Caenorhabditis elegans: one gene and its partners. The protein of the gene in region 3 interacts with the protein of the main gene of each other region in a pairwise test. Each region holds a gene or a part of one and is shown on either strand. Other genes may lie near its edges.

Region 1 (7,907 bases), on a different chromosome or scaffold from region 3:
TTGCCGGAAATTTTCATTTTCAAAAATTTGCCGGTTCGCCGATTTGCCGGAAATTTTCATTTTCAAAAATTTGCCAGTTTGCCGATTTGCCGGAAGTTTTTAGAGGGATTTTTGATAAGACGGAACAATTTACTGTGAAAATTTTGGCAAATCGGAAAATTGCCAGTTTGCCGATTTGCCGGAAATTTTTATTTTCGGCAATTTGCCGGTTTGCCGATTTTCCGGAAATTTTGATTTTCGGAAAATTGCCAGTTTGCCGATTTGCCGGAAATTTTTATTTTCGACAATTTGCCGATTTGCCGAAAATTTTCAATTCCGGCAAATATCTTGTTTGCCGGTTTTTCGGAAATTTTAAATTCCGGCAATTTGCCGAGTTTTTTTGCGCAAAATTCAATTTTTTCCGGTGAAAATCGATTTTTCAAAAAAAATTCAAGTTTTTCGACAAAATTTGGAATTTTTCATTATAAATTTCGAGTTTTCGAGATAATTTTATACAGAAAATTAGGATTTTTACTAAATTTTCGACAAAAATTGAAATTTTCTCGAAATTCAGAGTTTTTGGTACTTTTTTGACGGCAAAATTGAATTTTTCAGATTTTTTCGGTGAAAATAAAAATTTTTCATGAAAAAATACAAGTTTTTAACACAAAAAAAATCGATTTTTTACAAAATGTTAAAAAATTCCAAAAATTGAAAATTCTCGGATTTTTTTTTAATTTCGTTAAAAATGGGATTTTTAGAGAATAAAAAATCGATTTTTTAAATGGAAGTTCCGAGTTTTAGGAATATTTTCCAGCAAATTTTTTTCCGGCAAACCGGCAAATTGCCGGAATTGAAATTTCCGGCAAATCGGCAAATTGCCGGAATTAAAATTTTCGGCAAACCGGCAAATTGCCGGAATTGAAATTTTCCGCAAATCGACAAATTGCCAGAATTAAAATTTCCGGCAAATCGGCAAATTGCCGGAACTGAAATTTCTGGCAAATCGGCAAATTACCGGAATTGAAATTTCCGGCAAATCGGCAAATTGCCAGAATTAAAATTTCCGGCAAATCGGCAAATTGCCGGAACTGAAATTTCTGGCAAATCGGCAAATTACCGGAATTGAAATTTCTGGCAAATCGGCAAATTACCGGAATTGAAATTTCCGGAAAATCGGCAAATTGCCGGAATTAAAATTTTCGGCAAACCGGCAAATTGCCGGAATTAAAATTTTCGTCAAATCGGCAAATTGCCGGAATTGAAATTTCCCGCAAATCGACAAATTGCCGGAATTGAAATTTCCCGCAAATCGACAAATTGCCGGAATTAAAATTTCCGGCAAATCGGCAAATTGCCGGAATTAAAAATTTCCGGCAAACCGGCAAAATTCCGGAATTGAAATTTCTGGCAAATCGGCAAATTGCCGGAATTAAAATTTCCGGTAAATCGGTAAAATGCCGGAATTAAAATTTCCGGCAAACCGGCAAAATTCCGGAATTGAAATTTCTGGCAAATCGGCAAATTGCCGGAATTAAAATTTCCGACAAATCGGCAAATTGCCGGAACTGAAATTTCTGACAAATCGGCAAATTGCCAGAATTAAAATTTCCGGCAAATCGGCAAACTGCCGGAATTGAAATTTCCGGCAAACCGGCAAATTTCCGGCAAAAAACTCAAAATTTTGATTCCCACCTGCGCGGTCAACTGGCTCAACGGAATTGAGCACTGGAATTCTCCATTGCGAACTTGTCCGTGATTATCCCAATTATAGTTACGTCCATTGTAATTAAATGGCTCGGTTGCCGACTTGATAATAGCTTTTCCGGCTTCATAGGCTAGAATTCCTCCGGCTGCTCCGAGAGCTCCACCGATCAGAGCTTTCTTGAATGTTCCACTGCTCGATTGAGAGCCGAGACCGGTGCCTGGACGGAATCTGGAAAAATTTGACGGTTTTTGGTTGATGTCAGGCTCCTTGAAAATGTATTTTTATTTATTTTTAATTTTTTCAGTTCGATGCAAAATTCATAAAAAAATATCAATTTTGGACACAAAACTCGTAAAAACCACTACTTTGAGCTAAAAAAAGAAAAAAAAATCCAATTTTTTATCAGAAAAACTGAATTTCGTAATGTCAGGCGTCTGGCAAAATTCTAAAAAATTTTAATTTGGTTCAAAATTCGAAAAAAAACCCTATTTTGACCTAAAATCGCACATTTTCGGTCTATTTCTGCACAAAATGCGTATTGCACAACATATTTGACGCGCAAAATATCTCGTAGCGAAAAAAAAAACTACAGTAATTCTGTAAATGACTACTGTAATGTCGATTTACGGGATCGATTTTCGAAATGAATTAATATAATTTTCTATCGATAAATACTGTTGAAATTAGATTATCGATTCATGAAAATTTGCAAAAAAAAATTTGTCGCACAGAAAATTGGGCGGGGCGTAACTTTCGCAACACTGCCGCACGGTGCTAGTCTCCGCCCCTTTTTAATGCTTTTCCTGTTGATTTTTTCAATAAATTTTCCATTTTACTTGTATTTTTCTTTTCTTTTTTGTTCAAATGAAAATGTTATCCATTTCGAAAAAAAGAGAAAAATACAAGTAAAATGGAAAATTTATTGAAAAAATCAACAGGAAAAGCATTAAAAAGGGGAGGAGACTAGCACCGTGCGGCAGTGTTGCGAAAGTTACGCCCCACCCCGTTTTCTGTGCGACAATAATTTTTTTTGCAAAATTTAAGGATCGATAAATTAATTTCAACACTATTTATCGATAAAAAACTTTTTTATTTTATTTCAAAAATCGAGATCCCGTAAATCGACATTAGTGCTACAGTAGTCATTTAAAGGATTACTGTAGTGTCTTCGCTACGAGATATTTTGCGCGTCAAACATGTTGTGCAATACGCATTCTCAGAATTTTGTGCACCCATAGACCGAAAATGTGCCTAAATCAACGCTAATTTCGAAATTTTAGCTCAAAATAGGGGCTTTTTGAGTTTTGAACAAAAATATAAATTTTTAAAAAATTTTCCAGACGTCTGACATTACGAAATTCAGTTTTTTTTTGGTACAAAATTGAATTTTTTTTGAAATTTTCGAATTTTGAGTTATTTTTTATTTTCAAGACGTCTTAAAAAATGTGTCAAAGTGTCCCATTCCGGTTTGATCTTCGAAAAATGCGGGAGAAGAGACGCAGACTTTTCAACATTTTCCTGGGGGGGAAAATTCCCGCATTTTCTGTAGATCGAACCGCAATGAGACAACCTGACAACCACGTTGGAAGAAGGGGTGTCGAATTTTTTTCCACTAAAATTTAGAATCAAAATAGTTTGGTTTTTAGATTTTCAGAAAAATCTCTTAAAATTTCTGAAAAATTTGAAGGTAGAGTACCGAAATTAGAGACTTTGTGCTTTTTTAGACCAAGATTGGTCCAAAACTACCGAATTTGTTAATGAGAAGGTCTGAAAATTTCCCAAAAAAAAGTTATGGCGGTTCAAAGTTCGGCAAAATAAAGCCCATTCTCAGCTAAACTCAAATTTTTTCCAACTTCTCGGTGTCGCAACGTCTGGAACCTAATTTTTATTTATTTATCACTTTTTAATAAATATTGTGGTCTTTGATTAGGCGTTTATTCGTTGTTTTAAGCACATTTATGGTCTTTGGGGCACAAAATGTAACTTTTATTTGTGCCCCAAAAACCATAAATGTACTTAAATCAGCGAATAAACGCCCAATCAAAAACCACAATATTCATTAAAAAGTGATAATTAAATAAAAATTAGGTTTCAGACGTTGCGACACCGAGAAGATGTAAATAATTTTGATTTTAGCTGAAAATGGGCCTTATTTTGCCGAACTTTGAACCGCCATAACTTTTTTTTTGAGAAATTTTCAGACCTTCTCATTAACAAATTCGGTAGTTTTGGACCAATTTTAGTCTAAAAAGGCAACGTCTCAAATTTCGGTACTCCACTAAAATCCACCTTTAAAATTTCGGTTAAAAGTTGAAAATTTAATTATTTTTCGACTTTTTTCCAATTTCTTTCGTGATTTTCTTGAATTTTAGAGACTGTTTCAGGTATTTTAAGCCAAACTTTGAAGCCCGTACCCTCCATTATTTGGATGGAATCCTCCCTGATTCGGGTGGAAGCCACCTTGATTCGGGTTCGGATGGAATCCTCCCTGTGGATTATTGTTGAAATTGTTGTTCGGTCGTGGCTGATTGAATCCACCGGATCCTTGATTCGGATGGAATCCTCCTTGATTATTGTTGAATCCTCCTCCTCCGGTTCCTTGTTGAACTCCAGTTCTTGATCCACTCTGTCCGCGACTCGAGAATCCACCACCACCTCCACCGCCACCTGACAGGCTGCCACCGCCACTCGAAGATCTTCGGGCCTCGATCGGGCCGGCGGTCAAGACTAGAAGACTGATGAGGCCTATATATAGATGCCGGAACATCTGAAAAACCAATAAAAAGTGTCGTTTTTCAAATTGGTACGGGAAATCATCTTAGAGAGAAAAACGTTTATTCATCATAAAAATTATAGTATTTTTCGTCATTTATCGCGAAAGATTGAACAAATCGCGAAAGAATAAAAATCTAACTTAACGAGATCTGCATGACCAATCAGCGATTCGCTCCGGCCCCTTTTCAGCCAATCAGAAGGAGTGGGCGGAGTTCGAAGACGCTGATTGGTCGTGCAGTTCACTTTTTGGAGGGAATTCAAGCAGGGGAAATTAGCCAAAAATGATTTTTTGTTTCAATCTTGTGAGTAAAGAATAAGTAAATTTTCAGATTTCTAGAAAGTCGGCAAAAATTCACTTTTTTATAAATTAAAATCAGCATAGTTTTGATATATCTCAAGATTTTTTGATTTACAAAATAATAATGATAATTTGCAAATGATTTTTTGCCTGCAAATCGGCAAGTTGCCGGAATTGAAATTTCCGGCAAATCGACAACTTGCCGGAATTGAAATTTCCGACAAATCGGCAAATTATCGGAATTGAAATTTCTGTAAACCGGCAAATCGCCGGAATTGAAATTTCGGGCAAATCGACAACTTGCCGGAATTGAAATTTCCGGCAAATCGACAACTTGCCGGAATTGAAATTTCCGACAAATCGGCAAATTACCGGAATTGAAATTTCCGGCAAATTGGCAGATTACCGGAATTGAAATTTCCGGCAAATGGGCAAATTGCCGGAATTGAAATTTCGGGCAAATCGACAACTTGCCGGAATTGAAATTTCGGGCAAATCGACAACTTGCCGGAATTGAAATTTCGGGCAAATCGACAACTTGCCGGAATTGAAATTTCGGGCAAATCGACAACTTGTCGGAATTGAAACTTTCGGTAAATTGTCAGACTTGAAATTTGCGGCAAATCGGCAAATGGTCGGAATTGAAGTGTCCGGCAAATCGGCAAATCGGCAAATTTCCGGAATTTAAATTTCCGGCAAATGGGCAAATCGCCGGAATTTAAATTTCCGGCAAATGGGCAAATTGCCGGAATTGAAATTTCCGGCAAATCGGCAAATTGCCGGAATTGAAATTTCCGACAAATCAGAAAATTGCCGGAATTGAAATTTGCCGATTTGCCGAACGGCAATTGCCGCACACTTTTTTGAAAAAAAAAAGGATTATGTAACAAAATCCGTCAAGGTGAGCACAAAACAGCCAAAATAGGGGAACCACCGGAAACACTCGACTCAATAGCCCAGCTCAATATGGCTCAGGCTCATATATTCAGAGCAAAAAAAAACAGAGCAATTTGAACAGCTGTAAAGTCAAAAGTTGACTTTGCTAGTTATTACGGGAACAATAAATCATGAGAATGCGTTCGTGGAGCATTTTATTTGACGCGCGATATCTCTTAGCGAAAACTACAGTAAGAACTTGAAAAACTATTGTTATTTGAGTTCTTACTGTAGTTTTCGCTAAGAGAAATCACGCGTCAAATAAAATGCTCCACGTACGCATTCTCATGATTTATTATTCCCGTAATAGTTCACAGTGGGAAAACAACAACCGAAAACTAAACCGGAACCGGCCGGCGGATCGAAATCGAGAATGGGCGGCGGTTGTGGTGGCTTTATCGATTTTATCGGTATCGGTCTCTGTGTCTTCTTCTATTCACGAGAAGGGAAGGAGAAATCGAGAAATCACCAGGGAGTGAAGGTCAAAACGGCAAAGTTTTTTTTTTGTTTTATTGTGGTAAGTTTCGTGATTTCATCACTTCATTTGCCAGATACTAGATGACGTGGAAACTAGACAGTGTTGTTTTGAATCGATGGGTGGAAAAAGTGAAATGGAAAAAGGGAAACGGTCCTCGTCGTCGCGAGACGAAAAACATACACAGTCGGGGAGGTAGGTGTAGGTCAAGAGAGGAACCACGTGTGGGAAACTTCTATATATGATGCTTATATATGACGAATTTATAATTCGATTGTCTAGTGGATGGTACCTAATTGGATCGGTGACTAATGGGGTTATTCAAGTAATTTAGCAAAATGTATTTAAATACATTTGTGACGTCACAAATGTATTTAAATACATGTTTTTATATACTTGAATACAGTTGTGACGTAATTTTTCTACACTTTTTAATTTTCCGACACTACTTGAATAACCCCATAATACAAGAGACGTGTTATTTGACTTTGTAGACTTTTTTGTCAAGAAGTTATTTTATATTTAAAGGTGGAGTACTGAAATCTGATCAATATATTTTTAAATGAATCCAATTTTTCCCTTGATTTCGAATATCTGAGTGAAAAAATTCGAAAAAATTTCGATGATTTTATATTTCTGCTTGAAATCTTTTCAAACACCGAATTTTCGCGCCAGGGCGGCCATGTGTCGATTTACGAGATTTTTGTATATTTATAAATATACACAAATTTCGTAAATCGTTTTTTACAATATAATTATGAAATTTTAAATCTTTATAAGACGCTGATTTCCATTTTTAACGAGTTTCCTTCATTTTCGTCTGTTTTTGCCAAAGTTTTTATTTTGAAAATGTGTTTTTAAACGTCAATTAAACATTATATTATCAAAAAACGAACAAAAAATTTCCGATGGTCACAACTCGACGGAAAATCTGAATCTTTCCCGGCTGAAAGTTTTGTTGACGTTTTAATAATATACTGTTTAATTAACCTTAAAAAACTCAATTTCAAAAAAAAACTTTGGCAAAAGCCGACGAAAATAAAGGAAACTCGTTGAAAAATGAAAACCAGCATCCGATAATTATCAAAATTTTCGTAAATCGACACATGGCGGCTCTGGCGCGAAAATTCGGTGTTTGAAAAATCTGCACAAATGAAATTCGCGATTTCAAGCTGAAATATACAATCAGTAAAATTTTCTCGTACTTTTGAGGTTTACAGTTTAAGACAACAAACCCAGAAGGCCACCTTTAAACTAAACTAGAAAATAATTTAAAAAAAAATAATTGACTGGATCTCAAATTAAAATTATAATCCTCAACTTTGCTAATTATAACAATTTTAAAACCAAACTAGCAACATTTTCCATTGAAAAACGCTAAAAAAACGCCGAAAATATTGGAAATAGAATAGTTCTCTCCCAAACTATATGACGAGACGGAAAGTTCGAGAATCATCAGTCGAGGCAACACAACAATATGTTTCGCCTATAATTCGACATAACAACAGTGAAACCATTATAATAACCATTGTGAGACTAATTTTGCGTTGACGATGATTTCGATTTATATGATGTGTGGATTCAGAGAAAGAAACGGGAATCGAGAAAATCATAGTCTATTATTATTTCTTCGCAATGAACGAATTATGAGGAAAATTTAGTTTTTTTTAGTAGTTTTTCCTTTTCATCAAAATTTAGTGATAGAATGTAGAAAAATCGTTGCTTTGTAAATATTT
Region 2 (11,145 bases), on a different chromosome or scaffold from region 3:
AGTAGATCATCTCGTTTTCCCCAATACTTGACAAGTGCAATGTTCATCGGAACTCGGACCGTCGCCTCCGCCTCCGCTGCTCCATCGTCTTGGCTCATTCTGGTGGCAAAAAATCTGAAAAATTGCTGGAAAACGGAGTGACCAAAAAAAGCGGCAAAAATCTGGAAATCCAACAGGAACAAAAAAAAACTGGAAAAATGCCCTAACAAGCTAAATTTACATGTAAATTTATATAATTAAATTTTTGTATAATCTAAAAATCCATAGGATTATGCTATACACGTAGACATTAAGAACTTTGTGAAAAAAAAATGAATTTTTAGGGGTAAAAAGGTAAAATAGGGTGTATTTACGCGGGAAAGAGAGATGGAGAGAGAGACTAGAGAAAAATGCGAAAAAAATTGGGAAAAAAAACGATAAAATAAAAGATTATTCCTCGTCCATCGAGGTTCTTCTCAACACTGGAACCGGGAAACCGTGTTTCGAATCCTTGGCTGGCCATTCGTAAGTCTTATTGATCAGCTCATCATACTCAACACTGTACAGGTTCTGGCGAATGAACATTTCCTGGAAAAATTCAAATTTTTTATAAATTTAAAACTGAAAAAAAAGCACAAACTTTTAACCAATTTTACGAAATTTTTTAACAAATTTTTTGAGAAATTGCTAGTTAAAAATTAATTAAAAATTCTCAAAAAATCCCAAAATTTTTGACAATTTTTTAGGGGAAAATTGCGTTTTTTAACTTCTCATTTTCCTTTTTTTTGAGATTTTTTTCGGAAATTTCGGGTTAAAAATTGAAATTTCTCAAAAAATTCCAAAATATTTGAAAAATTTTAAGATTTTTGACAATTTTTAGGGGAAACTATTATTTTTAGAATCAATTTTTCACTTTTATTTCCAAGTTCAAGGTCAAAAAAATCGAAATTTTCAAAAAATTAAAATTTCCCAAAAAAAAAAAGAAGCAAAATTTCTCTTTAAAAAATTGAAATTTCCAGAAAAATCCGAAATTTCCCGAAATTTCCCGACATTTTCAACCCGAAATTCAGAATCAGCATACTTTAATTAACAATTTTCAGCTCATTTAAACGAAATATCGTAGAATCCGGTGCCAAGTACGCAAACACCGAAGCTCTGCGTACTTCTGAGGCTACAGTAACCCGGAAATTTTCAAAATTGAGCTAGAGACTCCAAAAAAAAGACGACTAGGGGCGAAATTTTACGAGGAACTCGAATTTTGCAGTGTCGATTAATCTGCGGCTCGTGTGTACTCCCCGAGGAGAAGTTTGCGTTGTTTTTGCAAGGAAATTCACGTTTTAGGCTAAAAGTAGTCCATTTTTGCTGATTTTTTGATTTTTAACGATTTAAATCACCTAATTTATTGATTTTTTAAAGTTTTTAGTGAAAATAAATGAATTTACTGCTGAAAATGCACTAGAAACCAGAAAAATCGTACTTTCACCGGAAAAAAACCTATGAAAATGAGCAATTCGAATAGTAAATTCGGAAATTCTCCTCGGGGAGTACACGAACCGCGTAAATCGACACACGGTCATATTTTTGCATTCGAAAAAAAATGTGAAAAATTATATTTTCAGCAGTTTTTTTCGGAAAAATCGTCAGAAATAAGTAGAATTTTTCAATTTTAGGCATAAAATTGTCTAAAAATCATTTTTGAAGGTATTTTTCAAAATTTTTTCATGTTTTTCAGCTAAAAATGCTTTTTTCCATGAAAAATTATTCTTTTCCTCGAGGAGTACACGACTCGCGTAAATCGGTACACGGCCATTTTTTGCATTAAAAAGTGAGGAAAATCAATTTTTTCGGGTGGGGAAAAGTCTTTTTTTGTCATTTTTAAAAATGTTTTTCATCCATTTTTCATGTTTTTTCAGCTTGAAATGCTAGGAAAATCGAAATTTTCCCGATTTTTTCCAAATTTCCACTCAAAAAATTGCTTTTCTCTCCGAGGAGTACACGATTCGCGTAAATCGACACATGGCCATTTTTTGCATTAAAAAGTGAGGAAAATCACTTTTTTTCGGGGAAAAGTTTTTTTTTTTGGTATTTTTCAACAGTTTTTCATGTTTTTTTCAGCAAAAAATGTCTAAAAATTGCAGGAAAATCGAAATTTTCCGACGTTTTTTTTTTTCAAATTTCCACTCAAAAACAACCGCACCATATCATCGGGTTTCGGGTGCAAAGTGGCCAAATCGTGTCGATAACAATACTCGCCAACTTCTACGGCAATTTTCACCGAAAGTTCTCGAATATCCTTCAGACGTGGATATACACGTGAATACGTGTTCAACGACTTCTCCGATACGGCTTCGGCGACCATACGGGCGGCCAGAAGGAACAGCTTGTCCGGAATGTTTTTGGTACGGAAGAGGACGGCTCCGAGAGCAACACCCGGGAAGATGTAGGCGTTGTTTCCCTGTCCTGGCTTATAGAGTTTTCCATTCATTTCGACATTTTCGAACGGGGATCCGGAGGCGAAGAGGACGGCTCCCTGCAAAAATTGGGTATTTTTGGAGGGAAAAATAACTGATTTTTCAGATTTTTCATTGAAAAATGATTTTTAAGATTAAAAATTGACATTTTTCCAAATTTTTCCATAGAAAATTAATTTTAATTCCATTTAAAATCATTTTTCCACGAAAGAGCTGAAAAATATAAATTTTTATTAAATTCTAAAATCATTTTTTCAACTAAAAATCTAAAAAGAATAAATTTTAAAATTGACATTTTCCACAATTTTCTTCGAAAAAATTAACTTACAATTGGAAGAAATTGTACCTTTTTAAAGATTTTTCTGTTAAAAAACAAAATTTAATTCAATTTAAAATCATTTTTCCGTAAAAAATCTGAAAAAACGACGCAACTTTAAATTATAAAATTGACTTCAATAAATTAAAAACTAAAACATTATTTTAAAATGATTTTTTTTTAATTAAAATTGGCATTTTCCAGATTTTTTAAAGAAAAATAAATTTAAAATATTCTCTTTGCCGTGGAAAATATTAATTTTCAATTAAAAAAGGTTAATTTTTGATTTATAAAGTCACTTTTTAAAAGGTAAATCTGAAAAAAAACGGTCAATTTTTGAATTTCAAAATAATTTTTCCATGAAAAATCAAGCGAAAATTGGCAAATTCTACATTTCTCAACTAAAAAAGTGCAGATTTTCTCCATATTTTTCCAGTTTTTTTTTCCAATTTTCGTTATTATTTTTATTACTATTTAAAAATTACTTTTTTCCCAGATTTTTCATTTAAAACCGCTCTAAATTCTAAAAATTGATATATATTTTAGATTTTAAAATTTAAATTTTCAGATTTCCAGATTTCTCTTTGAAAAGCGACTTTAAAATTACTATTTTTCAGGTTTTTCATTGAAAAATGGCTCTAAATTGTAAAAATTGAGATTTTTTAAGTTTTTTATTTGAAAAAAAAAACATTTTTTCATGGAAAATCTGAAAAAAAAACGGTTAATTTTTAACACAAAAAGTCCGGAAAATTATACATTTGGATTTAAAAATTTTTGATTTTTTTTCCATGAAAAAGCTGGAAAATAATAATTTTTAACTAACTTTTCATTGGAAAAATCTGAAAAACGGCGAATTTTTGAATTTAAAAATTCACTTTTCCATGAAAAATGCAGTAAATTCAGCTCAAAAAATCTGAAAAATTCAGATTTTCTCCATATTTTTCCAGTTTTTTCTCTAAATTTACATATCCCGTACATTTGTGCAGCGATAAGCCGTCTCCGCAGTGCATTCTGCTTTACTTGTAGGGTTGGACAGTGCAAAAATGATTGGCCTCGGGTTCAGCCGAGCCATTTCCTTAATAATATCCTCCGTAAATGCTCCAGCCACCGTAGATGCTCCGATGAGTGCTCCAGGCTTGACAGTCTTCACAACTTCCAGCAGATTCTTGGTATCCGGAAGATCTTTAGCGAATTTCACATGTCTCTCGCCAAGAGATTTACTACGAGACGTCGTGATGAGTCCTTCAATATCAACCATATAAATCCGACCGCAAGCTTCTTCCTCCGACAATCCCTCGTCCATCATCTGTCGGACACACATTTCGGCGACTCCGGTGGCGGCTCCACCGGCTCCGAGGAAGACGATCCGTTCCTGGGAGAGCTTCTTCTTGGTGATACGAGTTGAGGCGAGCAGGCCGGCGACGACGACAGCGGCGGTACCTGGAAATTTGCAAAAAAATTTTTTTTACAAAATTTATTTCTAACTATTTTTTAATTTTTTTTTTTAATCAAAAATTTCAAATCTGAAATCTGAAAACAAAAGAACTTTTAATTTTTAATTTTTAAAACTATTTTTTAAAGACCTTTTTTTTTTGTTTCCTATTTTATATTGAAAAAATCCAAATTTCCTGGGAAACTATTATTTTTAGAATCAATTTTTCACTTTTATTTCCAAGTTCAAGGTCAAAAAAATCGAAATTTTCAAAAAATTAAAATTTCCCAAAAAAAAAAAGAAGCAAAATTTCTCTTTAAAAAATTGAAATTTCCAGAAAAATCCGAAATTTCCCGAAATTTTCCGACATTTTCAACCCGAAATTCAGAATCAGCATACTTTAATTAACAATTTTCAGCTCATTTAAACGAAATATCGTAGAATCCGGTGCCAAGTACGCAAACACCGAAGCTCTGCGTACTTCTGAGGCTACAGTAACCCGGAAATTTTCAAAATTGAGCTAGAGACTCCAAAATAATTACATGGCTAGGGGTAAAGAAATTTTACGGAAAACTTTTACGGCGGAATTTTGCAGTTAAAATATAAAGTTATAAAGGAATATATCCCCTCAAATTTGCTTCACTATTTTTTTGAAACTCCAAAATTCGAGTTTCCCGTGAAACTTCACCCCGGGCTGTACTTTTTTTTTCGAGTTACTAGCTCAATTTTGAAAATATCCGGGTTACTGTAGCCCCGAAAGTACGCAGCGCTTCGGTGTTTGCGTACCAGACACCAGATTCTACGAGATTTCTTCGTCTAAATGAGCTGAAAATTGGCGCACAGGGCAATAAAAGTATGCTGATTCTGAATTTCATATTTGAAAACAGTGAAAATTCAGATTTTTTTTGAAAAATTTCGGCCAAAATGCAATTTTTTTTCTCAAATGTGCATTTTAAAGCCTTTTTCTCCGATTTTTTCGCTTTTTTTCCTCAATTTCCCCCCTGCCAAATTCTACCTTGAATATCATCATTAAACATGCAATATTCTCCCTTATACCGATCCAACAACCGATACGCATTCTGATTTCCAAAATCTTCAAATTGAATCAGCGTATCCCGTCCGAACCGCTTCGTGGCCGCCTTCATAAAATTATCGACGAGCGTATCGTATTCGGGACCTCTAACACGCTTTCTACGGAGCCCCGTGTAGAATGGATCGTTGAGCAGCTCGCTGTTATCAGTTCCCACGTCGAGAATCACCGGGAGACACCATTCCGGGCGAATCCCTGCGAGCGCAACGTAGAGTGCAAGTTTTCCAACGGGAATTCCGATTCCATAGGTTCCCAGGTCGCCGAGGCCGAGGATCCGCTCTCCGTCAGTGATCACAATTGCTCGGACGTTCTCTGTCGGCCAATTTGCAAGAATCTGATGGATTTTACTAATACTATTATCATTAATAGTAATGTAGAGACCCTTTGGGTTACGGTAGATGAATCCGAAATGCTGACAGGCTTGTCCTACGGTAGGAGTGTACACAATTGGCATGAGCTCCTTCACATTATCGCAGAGCACTCGGTAGTAGAGCTTCTCGTTACGATCCTGCAACGAGTCCAATTGAATGTACTTGGCAAGGTTGTCAGGTTGCTGGCGGAGTTTTGTGATGATACGGTAGGCTTGTTGCTCTTCGGTCATAAATGCGGGTGGCAGAAGCCCGTGAACTCCGAGATATTGACGTTCGTGGAGGGAAAAAGCCATTCCCTTATTGAGCCCGGGCGACTTGAGCAGGTCGATTCCTCGCTTCTGGGGTGTGGTGCGTTCCGGGCGGTAGAGCTTGTGAAGGGCCAGAGTTTTGGGATCGGAGAGATCCGGCTCGTTTTTGTCGCTCAGGCATCGTGTTGATGTGGAGAGACGGCGGATGCTGGAAATTTGGGGATTTTTGGTTTTTCATTGAAAAAAATGGCAAAAATTCAGATTTTCCCGGAGAAACCCATTTAAAATGACCGAAATTCAAATTTTTCGGAAAAAAAAATCCATAAATAATGGCTAAAAATTCAGATTTTCATGGAAAAAATTTATTTAAAATCGTTAAAATTCAGATTTTCCAGAAAAAAAACTATTTAAAATGGCTAAAAAGTAGATTTTCACGGAAAAATGTATTCGAAATGGCTGAAACTCAGATTTTTCTGGGAAAATGCCATTAAAACGGCTAAATTTCAAATTTTCCGGAAAAAAATCCATAAAAAATGACTAAATATTCAGATTTTCCCGGAAAAATCCATTTAAAAGGCTGAAAATCGGATTTTTTGGAAAAAATTTTTTTTAATGACTAAAACAGTAGATTTTCACGGAAAAAATGTATTTGAAATGGCTGAAACTCAAATTTTTTAAATATAAAAAATGGCTAAAAATCAAGCTTTCCCAGAAAAATCAATTAAAAACGGCTGAAATTCAGATTTTCTCCGAAAAAAATTCATGAAAAATGGCTAAAAATCGGATTTTCTCGGAAAAAATCCCTTAAAAACGGCTGTAATTCAGTTTTTTCCAAAAAAAAATCCATTGAAAATAGCGAAAATTCAGATTTCTCCTGGAAAAACTCATTCAAACGGCTCAAATTGAGACTTTTTCCCGGAAAAATACATTAAAAATAGCGAAAAATCTGTTTTTCCAGAAAAAAAACTATTTATAATGACTAAAACTCAGATTTTTCCGAAAAAAAATTGATTACAAATGGCTTAAAATCAGATTTTCCAGGAAAAAATGCATAAAAAATGGCGGAAAATTCATTTTAAAAATGTTGAAATTTTAGATTTTCCCGGAAAAAATCCATTAAAAATTGGCTGAAATTCAGATTTTTTCGGAAAAATCCACCAACTGCGGCTAAAAATCAGATTTTTCTGGAATAAAACCATAAAAAATGTCAAAAATTCATTCAAAATGCCAGAAATACAGACTTTTTCGGAAAAAAATCTAGTAAAATGGCTGAAATGCAGATTTTCCCGGAGAAAACCATTTAAAATGGCTGAAGTTCAGATTTTTTTAGAAAAAATAAATTTAAAATGATTAAAACTCAGATTTTCCAAGAAAAATTGGGCAAAATCGCAGAAAAATCGCAGAAATTGAAATTTTCATAGGTTTTTATCGAAAAAATCTACAAATTTTTTAAATACTCGTCAAAATTCGTAGACTTTTTCAACGAAAACCTGTAAAAATTTCAATTTCTGCAATTTCTCGCAGAAAAATCGATATTTTACGCATTTTTGCCGAGACCATCTGAATTTCACCCATTTTTCATAAATTTTTTCCGAGAAAAGCAGAATTTCAGCCGTTTTAAATGGATTTTTCCGGGAAAATCTGAATTTTTAGTCATTTTTAATACATTTCTCGAATTTCAGCTAATTTCAACGCAAAATCCTCCCTACCTGGCAGGCGAAAGACGGCTCAGCATTTTTCGTGATTCCCGCACGGTTGTGAAACCCAAGAGCAAATGAGAATTGATTCTGAAATGAGACGGAAAAATGTAAAATTTCGATAAAAACTTTTTTTTTTGAAACACGTGAAATAAAAACGGTGACAATTGATAAGAAAAATGAGTGCATTTTATCAATTTTTATTCAGAAAAAATTATGGAAAACCTGAAAATTCGGGAAAACTCGCGGTGAAACTGGAGAGACAATTGCCTGAGAAGCCACAAATGGGGGCGCCCGTCGTCTATCGATCCACGTATTCTTTCGGGATAAACTATGTGCGAGAGATCTGCACTCAGCGGAGAGACGCAGGGAGAAAAAGAAAACAAAAACACGGGCGGAACTCTTTTCTTGAAAAAATGAATTTTTATTTCAAAAAGTAAGATGGAAAATCGTTTTTCCTTCGAGTGGCGGCGAAATGAGTGCTTGGGGGAGCAAGTATGCGGTGAGAGGAGGGAAGAGGGAGAAAAAGCGAGAAAAATGATGTTTTCCCGTGTTTTTTTCTTGTTTATAGCGATATTTTTCGATCAAGGTGGCCTTGTCATCGAATTAGCCGTGATCTTTGGGGTTTTAATTGGAAGAAACAGATATTTTAATGCGATTTTTTGAATTTTCCACAAAAAATAAAGAAATTAGTTTATTTTTCCTCTCGAAAACCGACAAAAACTCAAGAAAATAACGAAAATCAATGAAAAAAATAAAGAAAAATTGTCGTCAAATGTGGCGCATTGGCCGCAAAGTACGCAGTTGCCGTGTCAATTCACCGGCGCCAATTCGAATTTTGAAAGGTTTTTTCATTAAAAAATAGCTTTTTAAAGAGAATTTCTGGATTTTGAACTGTTTTTTCATTAAAAATAGCTTTTTAAAGAGAATTTCTGGATTTTGAAAGGTTTTTTCATTAAAAAACAGCTTTGAAAAGAGAATTTCTGGATTTTGAAAGGTTTTTTCATTAAAAAACAGTTTTTTAAAGAGAATTTCTGGATTTTGAACGAGTTTTCCGGTTATTTTCAATATTTTCCCACTCCCAACGCAGCTGTCAGCTCAACACGTGTTCACAGGAAGTCAACAAATCGGATAAAGTGATCTTTGGCCAATTTTTCTGATTTTTCGACGGAATTATTTGATAAGAATGCGATTAGTGTGTTGGCATTTGGAAAAAAAAAGGTTTATTAGATAAATTGATCAATTTCGGGGAAAACATTTAAAAGTTTCTGCAAAATAATAGGGAAAAATAGCGAAAAATATTTAAATGACAAAAAAATACAGAAAAAAAACAGAAAAACAGGGATAATTAGAGATTCTTCGACTTTTCGTACAAAAAAAAACTGGGGGGAAAAGAGGCGCAGAGATCACATATTTGAGGGTAGACGGGCGGGAAAGAGAGAATATATTACATTTTGACAAGAATTTTTTGTCAGGGACTATTTAATAGTAAATTTTAAAAAATCGAATATTTATTTATTTATTAAAGCTATTTTTTGAGATACGCGTTCAGTTCTCGCTTCGTTTTCAGCCTGTTCCGTGGATGGCGGACTTCTCGGCCATCTTCCAGTCGGACCGTGTACTCGATCATCTGTCCTTTTCCACGGAAGTACGCGTCGTAGACTTGCTTGTCGTCCCACACTACTTTTACCTGCAAAACAAATTGGGGAATTTATTGATTTTTTTGGGGGTTTTTAGGACTTTTTTATAGTATTTCCGGGCTTTTTCTTTATTTATAATTTATTTAAAAAAACAGGAAAACCCATTAAAAATGACTAGAAGACTTGAGTTTTCCCTAGAAAAATCGTGATTTTAAAGGGGAAAATCTGAATTTCGGCTGTTTATAATGAATTTTTCCCGAAAAATCTGAAATATTCAGCTGAATTTTAGCTATTTAAAAACAATATTTTCGAAAAAAAAAATCGGATTATTAGCAATTTTAAACAGATTTTATCGGGAAAACCTGAATATGAGCCATTTTTAATACATTTTTACAATTTTTTTGTAAAAATCTGCACAATTTATAGTTTTTTTTTCGGTTTTGGCCTGAAAAACTATAAATAAGACGATTTGTGTGTTAAAATACCGAAAAGAATTGCCCGAAATTGAGGATTTTATCGAAAACCTTGTCCTCGAGGACTACACGAGCTCTTTAACTCCAAAATTCGAGTTCTCCGTGAAATTTCACCCCTGGCTGTACTTTTTTGGAGGCTTTAGCCCAATTTTGAAATTTTCTCGGTTACTGTAGCGCCAAAAGTACGCAACGCCGCGGTGTTTGCGTACCAGGCACCAGATTTGACGACATTTTGTTTAAATCAGCTGAAAATTGGTTCACAGGGCAATAAAATCACGCTGATTCTGAATTTCGTATTGAAAATGAGAAAAATTCGATTTTAAACACTAAAAATTGTATTTTCGGCGTTAAAAAATCGGAATTTTCCACATTTCGATTAATTTTCCAACATTTTTAATATGAAAATCAGAATCAGCATGATTTTTTAGCCCCGTACTTCATTTTTCAGCTCATTTAGACGAAATTCCGTAGAATCTGGTGCCAGGTACGCAAACACCAAGGCGCTGCGTACTTTCGGGGCTACAGTAACCCGGAATTGTGAAAATTGAGCTAGAGACTGCAAAAAAGTACAGCCAGGGGTGAAATTTCAAGAGGAACTCGAATTTTGCAGCAAAAATCATCGAAAATTTGAGGAAATTGACGATTTTTTTTGAAAATTTCAATTTCCTGGTGGAAAATCAATATTCCCCAGCATTTTTAATATAAAATTCAGAATCAGCGTACCTTTATTGCCCTGTGAATTAATTATGAGCCAATTTAGACGCAATTTCGTCAGATTTGGTGCCAGGTACGCAAACACCATTGCGCTGCGTACTTTCGGGGCTACAGTAACCCGAAAATTTTCAAAATTGACCTACAGACTCGAAAAAAGTACAGCCAGGTGTGAAATTTCACGGAAAACTCGAATTTTGCAGTTAAAATACCGTTTTAATGGTAAAATGTATGGTGGGAAGTTCAAATTTTTCAAATTTTTTGTTGCAAGATATACTCACTCTCGCCCCATACTGATGATCTCCGTTCTCACAGAACAGGCATTCACACGAGATGATATCCTCCACGTGATTATCACGACTACAGCTATTATCAAGGAAGTCAACGACAACGGTCTCCTTCTTATCAGCTCGTACGATGGCTCCTCTCGTGAACAATTTCTGCGGCGGCTCCACCACGTCCTCCACAAATACAAAATCGCCGACTTTCACGTTAGTATAGGCCTGCTGCTGCGTCGTCTTATTCACGAGATACGAGTGCTCGTGCTTATGACAGATCATCACAACGCCACGTGGATAGTCACGAACTTCACACACAAATCCAACACGGCGAGCACACGTGACATGAGCCAGTGTTGGAAGCGATGTGGTCGCCTGCTCCTCAATACAGAGCACACACGGAGCCAGACCCTCGTCTGTTCGATGGCAGACGACACAT
Region 3 (6,898 bases):
TTTTTGAGTCAGGGGAAAAGCGAAAAAGAGGTCTCGAACAGATTTTCAGAGACTGAATTCAGCTGAATTTTAATGATTGTTATAGGCTACAAACTCGTGCCGTTCCGAGCGTAAGAACTTTGACGGAAATTGTCCAACTTCTTGGGTCAATCATTTCATAAGAAAAGATCAGTTTGAGAGGTTTGAAAGAATTCAGAAAATATCGGACAGCAACATAAAACTTTAATTTTTCAGATACAAGAAAACATTGGCAGCTCAAGGAGTGAATATTGCCGATCATAATGCTCTCAATGATTAGATCAATTCGCTCTATTTCTACAACTTCTTCGTGCCTTTTTCCTACTTTAAATTCGCCATTTCCTCGTCCTGAAATTCTCGAAATGTCACCTAAATACCAATTTCTAACTACTACGACACCACAAATTAACGGGACAACTGAACTTCAGTCAATGCTTTCGGAAGTTTTACGGTTTAGATATTAGATTTTTTAAATAGCAATTGCTGTAGTTTTCAGATCGATTTTGCATACTTTTTTTTGAAATTGTTTAGAAATAAAATGTTTCCCTTTTTCTGAATAATTTTATAATTTTAGGTGTAACTCTTTCTTCGATTCGACAGTTTTCAATAATGTCGTCAAAATGGTGGAAAGTCAAAATAGTTTTTCGAGGGATTTTGCTAATCTCACTGCAATGAGATATATCGCAGTTGTATATCATTCTATAAATGATGAGGAAGCTCGACTAACACTGAAAAGGCTGAAAGATAACATCGAAAAATGCAAAATACATAAGATGCAGGAAGAACACGGTTTACATGTGGAAGTTCCAACAAATTGAAAATAGAGTAATTTTAGATAAATTTCGCATGTCGTTGGACCAAGATGCTGCAATTCCAGATTTTTCAAAGGTTATGCACAAGGTAACATATTTCTTATCTGAAATGTTTTTTTACTTTTAATACTTCAGCAAGATTTGGTGAGATGCTATTTTCGACGAGAGCTGGCGAATAAAAAGTGGAAAACTGTGAAGTAATTGCATATTTAAATCAAATATTTCAATAATTACCATTCAACTTTTTCAGGCAACTGCTCTCACGTTATCCTAAAAATATCAAGTTATATGAGCATATTAGTGCTTTCCTGGATGCTGCAAAGCTTGAAAATGCAGAGCCCATTGATATTATGCAGGTTTTTATGAACTATGCGCAAGTCGATAATCCACGTTTCATGGAACAAACTGAATTTGATGAAATCTTCAAACAAGTGGCCGAAGCTTGTTCTGCAAAAGTATCCGTAAAGTCAGAGCTAGATGTCAAAAAGACTTACATTTCCGAAAAAGAAGGAAAGATACTAAAAGAAAAGTGCGATAAATATGTGGAAAGTATGAAAGAAGGTAAAATATTATATCTTACATCTGTATCTGTGGTTTTTACTTATTTGCAATTTTAGGGTTCGTCAAAAAGGAGGAATACGAGAAAATTCGGCAGAAAGTTTTGCGATGGATGGAAGAAAGAAATATTCGAAATGGAGAGAATGTGGTTGTCGTTGATGCATTGAATTTCGGTTATGGAGTGGATCCGAAAGAATGGGATGATATTTCCAGCAAATTCGAGCATGTATTCTTTGCAACTAGACGGATATCAAACCAAAAACTACGGAAAGAAGTGATGGAAAGATATAATGGAAATGCTCTGTTTTGTGATAAATTGTGAGTTTTCAAAGATCTGGCTTTTGGTTTTAGTTCCATTTTTGAAAATCAATTTTTTCAGGTCCACAGATGACCTCATAATAATTCGAATGGCTCTAGAATTCGGTCCGGAGACGTCAATTGTTACAAATGATAAATATACTGATCATCGTTCAGCAATCTGTAATGGTGATCAAAAGTTGGAGAAAATTTTCGACGATTTTCTCACTGATGCATCACATCGACACTTCCATGGCCGAATCGAGACGAGACGGAATTTCAATATTCGAATTCGTAATCCGGATAATAGAATATGGATACTGCCCGTTATGAACTCAGAAGGAAAGCTGTCGAGAAACATTAAACGTTATAAAGTTGAAGTTTTTAGAAATAGTTGATATACGTGTTTCTAATTGTGTATTGTTTTTGTCATGTAATAAACACACTATTCATGATCCTCGATTTAATTTTTTTTGACTTTGAAAAGAATATAAAACTATCTACTAAAATTTATTCCAAATCAGAAATTGAAAGTGATCTTCTTAGGCGGCGGCCTTCTCCAATTCAATCAACTTCTTCAATCCATCGTACATCTGACGAACTGCTTGATACTCGGTAAGCCCAAGACGCTGCTTGTTCGAGATGTCATAGATTCCTTCCTTCGATTCCGAATGTTCTCCATGAATTCCACGAATCTGAAAATTATAATTTGAAAACTGAAATAAAACTTTAAAAATACCTGAAGCTTCATGTCACTGCAAATCTTCTTGAAATCGTCCTTTGCCGAGATCTTTGGCAGCTTAATGTGAACCGATGCACGAACAGTTGTTCCCAAGTTGGTTGGACAGAAGGTGAGCCATCCGAGACGTGGATGACGAGCGAATGGAGCCTTGGCAGCGACGAGGTTCAGTCCTTTGATGAGTCTGGCGAGAACTTCACCAACATTTCCTCCATTTTGCATAGAGATGATACGCAAGTGATCCTCCTCGTTGACCCAAACCAAGAAAGTCTTCTTCTCATTGTGGAAGATTCCACGTCCGTTTGGCCAATAACGGTTGGCATTGGCAGCCTTCAAGAAGCGATCACCTTCTTTGAAGAGGAAGTGATCAGCAATGAGCTTCTTCTTCGTCTCCTCATCCATTCCAGTCAGAGGGTAGTACGTTCCCTTGAGCTCGGGATCGGTGATGCTGTTGAAGATCTCCTTCATACGGGTTTCCATCATCTTGTAGTTGGTCTCAGAGAGACATGGATTGAATGGGTATCCTTGCAGAGAACGTCCGCAGCGGATACGTGTCGACACAATGAATTTGCCCTCTGGGTCGAGATCGGCAAGTTCTCCAACCTAAAATGTACAAAATAGAATTAAAAACAATTAAAAAGTAATTACATTTTTCTCTCCCAAATCCATTGCTGGTTGAGTGTCGGTTGCCTTGAATCCATTGTGGTACTCTTCGATCACAGGATTGAAAAGATCCGCGAACAAGGTGTAGCTCTCCGCGTCTGGAGCATAGATTCCGACTCCCGAATCGAGGTTCTCTCCGCCCGACTGAATGACATCCAAAAGAGTTGCTCCGAGACGGGTCTTCTTCGACTTGTTCTTGGCGACAACGTCCTTTGTCAAGTGCTTCTTGAGAAGTGACGAGCAGTCAGAAGCTCCTTGGAGTTTCGTGTAGACCTGGAAACAAAAACAAACGTTAAGAACTTGAAAACTTAAGAAAACTCACTTCTTCAATCGATTTCTGAACTTCCGGGGTCGCTGTCATATTCGATGATGAAACGTGTAACAGGCGGTTCGTTCTTTGAAGAGCTGAAGCTGTTAGACTGATGATTTTTGGAAACGAAGCCCTTTTATACAGACGATAATGTGGCAGAACGTGGGACCGTGACATTCTATATAATACAGTGAAAATGTATTTTGAAAGTTCAAATTACATCGGAGTTCTTAAAAAAAAACTTCACGTATTCATAATTAAACATATTTTTGGGGTATAGCCCGCTATAGCGCCAGTGGGGAAATTGGTTTAAAGCACGCCTATGATACAATTTTTTGAAAGTCGATAAAATCTCAGTTTTTTCTTAATTAAATGTTCGGAAGAAAAAAGAAAAAAAAACAAGTTAAATGCAATTTTCAATAAAAAAAACGGTAAACTGTAAAACAAACTACTTTCAGATTCGTCGTCACCGGAACGTATAATTTTACACTTGCACGCGTTTTCAGTTAACTTTTAATGATCAATTTGCATTTAACCTGCTTTTTTCTTTTATTTTCAGAAAAGAATATACAAAAAATGAAAAATTCAAAGAAATAATGAGAGAAAAAGTAAATAAATGATGAAATGAAAATAATGCAAGCGCGCTCTATCGAACAAACAGTTTGGCGGCAGGTTCAATTTAATTGTCAAAAACTGATATTTTTCTGAGATCAATTTTTAATAGATCATATGCAATTAAGAAAAAATTGTTGAATTAAAAAAAAAATACTCGGTCATTGTATACAATGGTACTACAATTGTAGTACCATATGCGTGTATTACAGAAATTTTCCCACTGGCACTGGCGCTGGATAGGGCTACTTCAGATTTTTTGTTGGTATACTTATGTGTTTTTCATAAATTAAAAAATTACACAGCAACTTTTCAAAGTTTATATAAAAAATATCCCCAAATGTCTAATCCGTGACGTTCCAAAATTAGACCCGCCCACATCTTGAATTTTGTCAAAAGCTTTTTGGTATAGGTGCGTTTCTTTTTATTATCTTGAATTTTCAAACTATTTTTAAAACAATATTTTCTTCCAATCAATTTTTATTCCCACACCTTCTTTACCAAGCCATCCTACGTAATCTGTTTCTTCAGATTAAAATCTAGCACTTTATTCTTCTATTTGGTTTTTTCAGTTGCGAGATTTCCGAGAATTGCCCAATTGGGAAATGATGTATGAAAGTTTTTTCAAAGGAAAACATTATAAAGGACTGCATAAATTATTTAGAAGAAACAAGGGAACCACACCCACTAAACGAAATGCCCCGTGGGCAATCAAGAGAGTTTTCTCACACATTCTTATGTTTTGGAATATTCAAAGTGGTCCGGGGTTTATCTTCATAGCAACTTATCTTCATGTGTCTAATATTAACTACAAACGGTTTCAGAATTAAATTGTTTAATGGAGAAGGGTGCCAACCAATCAGCGACGCGCTAAAAACGTTTATTGGTAGAAATTTATTTTGCGCGCGTATTTAAAAATTTTTCTAGCCCTGGCTTTTGTATTTTGAAAAGCCCTTTCCATGAGTTTAAAATAGCCTACTTTCCTCTAGAAACACTGCTTAATGTTCAAATTACGTAACTTACCGTAATCCAGTTCTTCCAGAAGACTATAGAAAAGTGTTTGGAACGGTTGAAACCTGTCACTTTTTCTTATCATTTCACACATTCACAATTTCTTCCATCATTTCCCCGGACTTTCTCTTCTTTAGGATACTATCCTTCTCCTTAACCCAATAACTTCTCCTTTTTTCCAGTCTCCCATTTTTCCGTTATCCGTATTCTTTCCCTTTCTTATCTTTTTGTCCCTCATTTTCCACTCATAGTCGTCATCAGGCGGCATCTATCAGATCCAGTTTGCCAACACACGCGGGAAAACGAAAAAACCAAAGAAGAATAAGAAAATGGCAGAAAAGAGATTTTTGTATGTGTGTTTGTGTGTGTGTCCTGTGTGTATGTCTGCCAATGTCTGTTGCAGATGCTACTGTTGTTTTATGCTTACTCTTTTATTTTAATAATCTATTAACTAACCTGAATAGATTTTAGATTTATTTTAAAAGAGTTTTGTGCTCTTAAAATTAAATTCACAGTCAGAATAGTCTACACATTTTGGCCTTTGCTTTGTTTAAATTTTGTGCTCACAACATCTTTCAAAAACAGAGCGCAGAGTGTCTGAAAATATTGTTAAATCAGTTTCTAGAAATATACCTCGTATTTGCCTGCCTACGTGGTTGCCTGCCTATCACCTATTCTCAGCAGAATTTCGGCATTTTGTAACCGTAGAGTATGTTTAGATTTCTAATTCCCAGTTCATTTGTTGGAATTTTAAGAACTGCGTGTAGGCGCAACGCAGGCGTAGGTAATATTGAAGGCCTATGGTCAAGCTTTTTGTGGCTTTGACAATTTGATAAGTTGAAAAATATAAATAACGAGCAATATGTATTTCTCACCAATTTTCTGAATTTCAGTAACTTTACAATAAAAAATATATATTTTAAACAAAACACAACAATCATTCTTCTACTCTTCTTTTTTTCAATACTTCCAAAAAGTTTTCCATTCAATTTCTGATATCATTCGTCTAAATTCCTATCTGTCCTATTTGCTTGAACTACTCCAAGTGTTATCCTCAAAAAAAAAGTTCGCAAGGAAACCAAAAATTTTATTGGTTGCCAAATTGGTTGATAAGGATCTATCTGCGAAGTTCTCTGTCATGATCTTGATCTTTACGATGTTATTGTTTGAAATTGGTTATGGCAAAAGAAAAGGAACATTGTGATAACTTTGAGTAATTGATATTTCAAACTTTTCAAAATAAAATTGAGAAAGTACCCTAACTATGAACAATTTATTTTGAAATCAAGGCAAATACATAGTTTCTTTTAAAAATTTTACCGCGGAGCAACTTTCGCCCGAAATCTTTTGGTAATTTCAAAATTTATTAAAATCCGCAGTTACAAAGCCTTAAAGATGTCACTGAAATGTCACTGAAAATTAAAAAATTACACTATTTCGCAAAAAAAAAAACACACACACCAAAACATGAGTTTAACAATCTCCAGAACTTCGGCAACTTGGCTGCCGCAATAATTGCTGGTTTTCAAAAATATTTGCTAAAAATGCTAAAAATATCTGCCTACCTACCATTAAACTCTACTCCCCCTTCCTATCAAACTTTATACTTTTCCAAACCACAATAAGTGAAAACCGTGTATTACATTACTTTTGGGGGATCAAAAAGTTAAATATATTACTACGCGTCTTCCTTGTTCAAAGCATAATCGTGTCTTGAACTTCACTTTCTAAGAATAGAGAGGAAAGAGGCGGAGTCAGACACTTTAATTCACTTTCAGTCAAATGACCCTCTCAAGATGGGAAGAAAGAGGTACATGTAGAGTTTCAAGAATTTACGAAAGTAATCACACATTACTATTTTATAGTGGAGGTTAGAAA
Region 4 (6,928 bases), on a different chromosome or scaffold from region 3:
TAAAAGTTCCAAAAATCAACCTCTTCGTCTATTGAATTTGAATTTCGATTTTTAATTTTCTTTGAGTTTTGTAAGAAACGCGGCCGTGTACTCTTCTCGGACAATTAACTAATTAAATTTTTGGATTTCAAGTAATTTTTCGCATTTTCTTGATTTCCCTCGGTATGTTGTAACAGATGCAGAGACGCATTTTACTTTAATTAACAGACCACTCACTCCTAAATACAGTAATGTATCTTGTTCTGCTGATGAATGACACTTCTAAAATCACATAGTTTATTCATTTTCCTGTTTTTCATTGAATAATCAATTTGATAGTGTTATCGATTTTCATTAGAAATAACGGGAAGTAACGAGAAAATACTAGGACATGGCCTAAAATTCAAAAATTTAATTAATTAATAGTACGAGAAGAGTAAAAATAGGAAGATCAGACTTGATTTCCCAAAAATAACTTCAGTTAACTGAATAATGCAAAAAAAATTACCTTTCATTAATCAAAATTTGAATAATTTCAGGCCAACACTCGCCCTGTGATCAAAGTAATGGACAATGCAGAATGTACAAAATGTGAAAAGAACGGAACACGACGATTCGAAATCCGAGCTCAAGAGAATATTCAACCAAAAAATATGTCTCTCGGAGTCATCAAAATGGGAACATTTTTTGATCTTCTTGAAGATGGATCATTGGATCTTCTTGTTGAGTATGAATACGGTGGTCAGACACGTTTTGGATTCATCTACTGCCCTGATAAAGGAGATACAACATTCTTGAAAGTTCAAGTTTTCACAGGAGTTTGCAGTGATCGATGCAATCCAAAATCAAACGAGATTGGATCGAGTATCAGTATGACTGGTGCATGTGCTTCTTTCTCAATGACAGATGGATGGGGAGGTAGTACACAGAGTGTAGCATGTCAAGTTCCGGCTTCATCAAATAGAGCACTTTATCTCCCATTTTTGTTGTATGGTCTTGGAAGAAGTCCAAATTTTGTGGATGAGGTAATTTCATATCTTCTAGATATTTTCGTTCAATTATTCCAAATAATCTTTTTTTCAGTTGAATATTGCCATTCCGAAATACGCAGATCGTAAAGAAGATTGGAAACACAGTCTTAAACAGATTGTTCCAAATTCTCGGATTATTGTTCTCCCACCATCGGATCAATATCCACACTGGACGAGTCGGCTCTACGTCACACCATCAGCTCTTATTGTTCAGGTAAGATTATTATGGAGACGTGGACATACGCTCCAAATGGGAACGACGGAAATTGATAAAATAAAATTAAAAAATAAAAGAAAAAAACTTTTCATTTTTAATGCATTCTTTAAACATAATTTCGGCATAAAAATCATTAAAACTAACGAAAAACATTTCAAAATGGTTGCAAATACGAATTCGTTGAATTCACGGGTTTGCTGCCAAATAACTAACGAGACCCATGGCTCGGGGGCGGAGCGTAGTCAGTTGGCCATGGGGCACATTTCCACGTCTCTATAATAAATCGATATTCTCATTTTCCAGAGTCTTGCCGTCATTGCTCTCGTATGCTGTATGCTTCTAATGGTTGTCGTATTCTTACATTATCGAGAGAAAAAGGAAGATCGATACGAACGACAACAACAATCTCATCGATTCCATTTCGATGCCATGTAGATTTTTTTGTGAATTTTAAGATCATATCTTCTTGAAGACGAGATCGTTTTTTACGGGTTCCCATCATTTGTCTCTTTTTTTGCATATTTGACCTTTTGAAGCTTCATCCTGTGTTTAGATTTCCCATTTCGAGCTGTGATTGCACGTCGGAGTATTTTTAGAGATCAGCTTTAAATCCGAGTTTTCCTTGTTTGAAAATAGAAACATTATTTGAAAACAACTGTAATATTTATTCCACGTGACCCCTTACCCTCCATCACTCTCTTTATAAACTGAACAGAGACTTTTTCGTTTTTTTGACGAACTATTAAAATAAAACTTTTTGAATTTTTTCCTAATGAAGTCAAATCCAAAATATTTTCTAATGAATGACGTGGAGCGGCAGAGCAAATATTCGCCGAAATATGTGAGTTTTCTTCAAATTTTTGTTAACTTTAACAAAAAGTTTCCAATTTCAGGTTCCAAACAACAGTCTGAAAGAGCGAATTCTGGAGTTTTTGGATTATTACATTGCGCCATTGAAACTGTAAGTTTCATTTTATGGAAAATTCTCATAAAAAACTCAATATTTTCAGGTATCTTCTGTCTTACCCGATGCCGGATTGCCTTTGGGACAATCGAAAATTGAGGTATTACATCGGAAAATCGTTGCAATGACATGGAACCCACATTCATTTTTTTCAGATTGAAGGCCAGTGGTGTGCAAGTGACTCCGAGCTCCGAACCAGTTCATATCGATGATCGTCTAATTCACATTTCACAGAAACAACCGTCCGAATGATTTTTCGATTTTTATTTAATAAAGTTTTAGAAATTATTTCATTTTTTTCAAGTTTTATCCGTGTTCTAATGGTTTTCTATTACCTTATTATTATTTCTTCAGTTCTCCAAAAAAAAATATTACCCAGACATAAAATGTTGAGGTTTTGTAACCTGGGTCTCGCCCCGAGAAAATTTTGTTAAATGCAGAAAGTTGTGCGCCTTTGGAGTACTGTAATAAACACTTTCGGAATTTTCATAATCGAATCAAAAAAGTTATTTATTAAAGAACTTAACTCCTATCAAGTCGAGAAAACACTGTAGAAAAACAATAAAAATTTGTATCCATTTTTACTTGAAAAATTAAAAAAACTGCAAAAGGCTAGACATTTCTTTTTAAAATTTCAAACTTTAAATGCAAATAAACCTAAAACTTCTTTTTTTTTCAGAAATAATGTCGGATCAGCTGGAAGCCTCTATCAAGAATATTCTCGAACAAAAAACGCTAAAATGGATTTTTGTGGGTGGAAAGGGAGGTGTCGGAAAGACGACATGCAGTTGCTCATTGGCAGCTCAACTCTCAAAAGTTCGTGAGAGAGTTCTTCTCATCTCCACCGATCCCGCCCACAACATTTCTGATGCCTTCAGTCAGAAATTCACAAAAACTCCAACACTGGTCGAAGGTTTCAAAAATCTCTTTGCAATGGAAATCGATTCAAATCCGAACGGAGAAGGCGTCGAAATGGGGAATATCGAAGAAATGCTGCAAAATGCTGCACAAAACGAAGGTGGAAGCGGTGGATTCTCGATGGGAAAAGATTTTCTTCAAAGTTTTGCTGGAGGACTTCCTGGGATTGATGAGGCAATGAGTTTCGGGGAAATGATAAAGTGAGTGTCAATGATTCTGATTTTTAAAAAATCTATTATTTTTTTCAGGTTGATAGACTCTCTTGACTTCGACGTTGTGGTCTTTGACACCGCTCCAACTGGGCACACTCTTCGTCTTCTTCAATTCCCAACACTTTTGGAAAAAGTATTTACGAAAATTCTGTCACTTCAAGGAATGTTTGGACCAATGATGAATCAATTCGGTGGAATGTTTGGAATGGGAGGTGGATCAATGAATGAAATGATTGAAAAGATGACAACGACTCTAGAATCTGTGAAAAAGATGAACGCACAGTTTAAGGATCCTGTTAGTTTTTCAGATTCAAGTGATATTTAAAATTACTACGGAGATATATCACCCAGACGCGAAAATTGTCGTAAAATTCTGCATCTTGGTAATATGTTTTTTTAACCTTTTCAATTATATCAAGGGTAAATTCTAGCTTGATATATATTGAATTCAGAGATTTTAAATCATCAAAGTTTCTGCAGAGCATTCAAATATGTATTTACAGAATTGCACCACATTCGTCTGCGTCTGCATTGCCGAATTCCTCTCTCTTTACGAAACCGAACGACTTATTCAGGAGTTGTCCAAACAAGGAATCGATACTCATAATATTATTGTGAATCAACTTCTCTTTCCGGATACCGATGCAAATGGAACAGTTTCATGCAGAAAATGTGCATCGAGACAGGCGATTCAGTCGAAATACTTGACAGATGTGAGTTTAAATGAGAAGTTTGATAAATTATTAAATTAGAAACTTTGAGCAAATTAATATTGAATAACCACAGTGCATTTTTGACTCTGTCGTGATTTGCTAGATGCGGAATAAATCAATTTTTCCAGATCGATGAGCTCTACGAGGATTTCCACGTCGTCAAACTTCCACTTCTTGAGGCAGAAGTGCGTGGAGGGCCCGCAATTCTTCAGTTCAGCGAACGGATGGTGGATCCTGAAGCTAACAAAAACTAAACTAATTTGTTCTCCTACAAAATCAACTTGTTCTGTGGTTTTTTATGTTAAAAGATTCTTCCTATCCCATGTTTTTTCTCCAAAATTCCCTGTCCCCTTATTTCTCGCTTTATTGTGGGTGCCTTTTTCGAATCAAATGAATAATTTATGATATTCATTGTTTTTTACTTAGGATTGAAGTATATTTGGAACATAATTATCTTTCAAACTTCAGCCTGGCAAACTATTTTTGTCAAGTAATCATTTTAATTAGCTAGATTTTAGACGTAATTTCTTTCAAATAGTACCTAGTATTAGGCAGCCGACAGGTCATGGGACCAAGCAGTACATTTTTCCGACTGCTAGACTTCATCCGACACTTACCTAGATTCAGAGAATTCAATTTTCACACAACTTGTTAAAATCTCTAGTTTACGAGCTTGTTTTTAACCAGACTTATGGATCCTGAGAATGGAGGGCCATGGAGCCTCCATGGAGGGGATGGCAGTTGGAGATACAATGATTTTGGAGTAATTTTACCTTCGTATTATTTTTCATGTGATTTCATTTTCAATTCACTTAGCCCCGTTTCCTAATGTTCAAGTTGCTATTTCCAATTTATTTTCCTTGGTCCACTTCATATTCCTTGGAATTTTTTCTGCATTCAAATTACCAAATAGCCACGTGCAATATCCCATTCTCTGCAGTTTTGAAATTTGAATTTATACAATAAACATGAGTTGTCAAATATTCAGTCTTAATCTGATATTAGTTCAAATATATTCCAAATCAATTCCAAATATATTCGAAATATATTTCAAATATATTCCAAATATATTTAAAATATATTCCAAATATATTCCAAATCTATTCCAAATATATTCCAAATATATTTCCTATTCTACTAATCTTTTTCTCAATTTCTGTGCGAAATTGTGTTATTATCGTACCAGGGAACAGAGATATGACCAAATCTGTACTCACTGTTCAGATTTTTTATAAAAATGGTGAAAAAAGGCTTTGGATAATTCCAAACATTCATTTGGCAGAAGCTGGAAGTTAATGAAACACACACCGCAGCTGTTAAAACTTATATAAATATATTTTCTGTTTCCAAAATTATAAACTTGTAAAATAAAACCGTTTCAAAACTTTCACGATCGAAAATATGATGCGTGCCAAAAGGACGTCAGAATATATTTGGAATATATTTGGAATATATTTGAAATATATTTGGAATACATTTGGAATAGATTTGGAATATATTTGGAATAGATTTGGAATATATTTGGAATATATTTGGAATATATTTGAAATATATTTGGAATATATCAGTTTCCGGTAATTTTTGTTTGTCCGCTAAGATACTTTGTCACCCAAAAGTTTGTTATCACGGAGAATTGATCAACTATGCTTGATTTATTGCTTTTATACCCCTTATGATCCTTTGAAGCTGAAGGATCAGATCATCAGGAGGTACCCATCTGATCCTTTGAAGCTGAAGGAACAGATCACCAGGAGGTACCCTTCTGATCCTTCGGAGCTGAAGGATCAGATCACCAGGAGGTACCCTTCTGATCCTTTGAAGCTGAATAATCAGATCATCAGGAGGGATCATTGTTCATACATTCAATTGTGAGTAGTCAAGGCCGAAAATCCATGGAAAATTGCATTTAAAAACTTATTCCAGTGAAAAAAAAACAAAAATCGATTGAGAAATATATATAAAAAACTAGTTGAAAAAGTTTGTCACCGAAGATACGCCCGGTCAGAGACAAATGGCACTTTGTCGACTGGATACCATGTCACTTTGGATACTTTGTCCCCAAAAATACCTTGCCACCCTAAAAGTTTGTCCCCTCGGAATGAAGGCCATTTTGATGCATCTCAATCATCTCCAGATTCTTTGCAAGAAGATCATTACTTGGTGCTGGAGGCGGAGACAGAGCAAGAGCTCTGCGTGGAGGGCGTCGTTCTTCTTTTGGCTGAAACTTGAAGACATGACAACAATAACGTCGCGTATTGCACTTTTTTGAGAACAAAAAATCCACATTTCATCTGGAAAATATTTTTTGAAAAACAGTAAAGAAGAAAAAGAAGGAAATAGAAAACCATTGGAACACGAATAAAATGTGAAAAATAAAATCATTTCCCCGTTTCATTGAAGCAAAAGTATTATGTAACAGAGTTAAAAAGTGATGGGAAAGTTTGGCGAACTAGTATTGACTAGTAGTATAATAGTGTTACAAGCATAAAGTTCAAAACAAAAGATGAAAATTTAAGTAAAAAAAAATTCTATTTAATGTACATGGAACTTTTGATGTTTATTTCTCTGCGAGCTTCTCAAAAGTCGCAGGACAGGAGTTTTCGGCTCTTCCACGTGTGGTGAAGGTGTTCGTTGAGGCGTTCCTCTAATTTGCACAACAGCTTTGGCAGGCGGTGCCAGAAAACAGAAGCGGGCATTTGTCGATTTTGCGATCGGTATCTCAGAATCCATTGTTCCTTATTTTATAGAGTTTCTATGTGCATGAACGGATTTCAACGAAAGATAGGTATGATGGCAACACGAGCACACCGTCGGTTGAGTGATGTGATGCACATTTCTCATGTGCTTCCTCACATCATCGGCTCGAGTCATCACAATTTGGCACATCAGGCATT

What was found.
Region 1: the proteins of ZC434.8 (region 3) and pqn-83 interact in a two-hybrid assay, tested with the Caenorhabditis elegans proteins (one large-scale study listed by BioGRID).
Region 2: the proteins of ZC434.8 (region 3) and men-1 interact in a two-hybrid assay, tested with the Caenorhabditis elegans proteins (one large-scale study listed by BioGRID).
Region 4: the proteins of ZC434.8 (region 3) and asna-1 interact in a two-hybrid assay, tested with the Caenorhabditis elegans proteins (one large-scale study listed by BioGRID).

Annotation. Positions count from the first base shown.
Region 1 is NC_003281.10:13,095,002-13,102,908, forward strand, and holds the start of pqn-83 (CX domain-containing protein), read right to left. Parts: upstream 4,455-7,907; coding exon 4,102-4,454; intron 1,916-4,101; coding exon 1,675-1,915; intron 1-1,674.
Region 2 is NC_003280.10:14,226,162-14,237,306, forward strand, and holds men-1 (Malic enzyme), read right to left. Parts: upstream 7,695-11,145; 5' UTR 7,643-7,694; coding exon 7,617-7,642; intron 6,116-7,616; coding exon 5,214-6,115; intron 4,207-5,213; coding exon 3,743-4,206; intron 2,510-3,742; coding exon 2,177-2,509; intron 568-2,176; coding exon 430-567; 3' UTR 216-429; downstream 1-215. Other genes in the region: Y48B6A.13 (Diphosphomevalonate decarboxylase), read right to left, coding at 1-98; jmjd-2 (Lysine-specific demethylase 4), read right to left, coding at 9,133-9,294, 10,710-11,145.
Region 3 is NC_003279.8:10,345,872-10,352,769, forward strand, and holds ZC434.8 (putative arginine kinase ZC434.8), read right to left. Parts: upstream 3,499-6,898; 5' UTR 3,449-3,498; coding exon 3,410-3,448; intron 3,361-3,409; coding exon 3,073-3,360; intron 3,028-3,072; coding exon 2,425-3,027; intron 2,381-2,424; coding exon 2,228-2,380; 3' UTR 2,184-2,227; downstream 1-2,183. Other genes in the region: coa-6 (PRORP domain-containing protein), read left to right, coding at 282-469, 593-807, 854-918, 966-1,027, 1,081-1,391, 1,448-1,706, 1,768-2,083.
Region 4 is NC_003281.10:8,892,214-8,899,141, forward strand, and holds asna-1 (ATPase asna-1), read left to right. Parts: upstream 1-2,868; 5' UTR 2,869-2,875; coding exon 2,876-3,309; intron 3,310-3,357; coding exon 3,358-3,616; intron 3,617-3,824; coding exon 3,825-4,034; intron 4,035-4,162; coding exon 4,163-4,288; 3' UTR 4,289-4,441; downstream 4,442-6,928. Other genes in the region: lnkn-1 (Protein linkin), read left to right, coding at 519-1,004, 1,063-1,224, 1,531-1,662; ZK637.4 (uncharacterized protein), read left to right, coding at 2,000-2,068, 2,121-2,188, 2,238-2,291, 2,347-2,443. UniProt on the Caenorhabditis elegans protein: ATPase required for the post-translational delivery of tail-anchored (TA) proteins to the endoplasmic reticulum. Recognizes and selectively binds the transmembrane domain of TA proteins in the cytosol.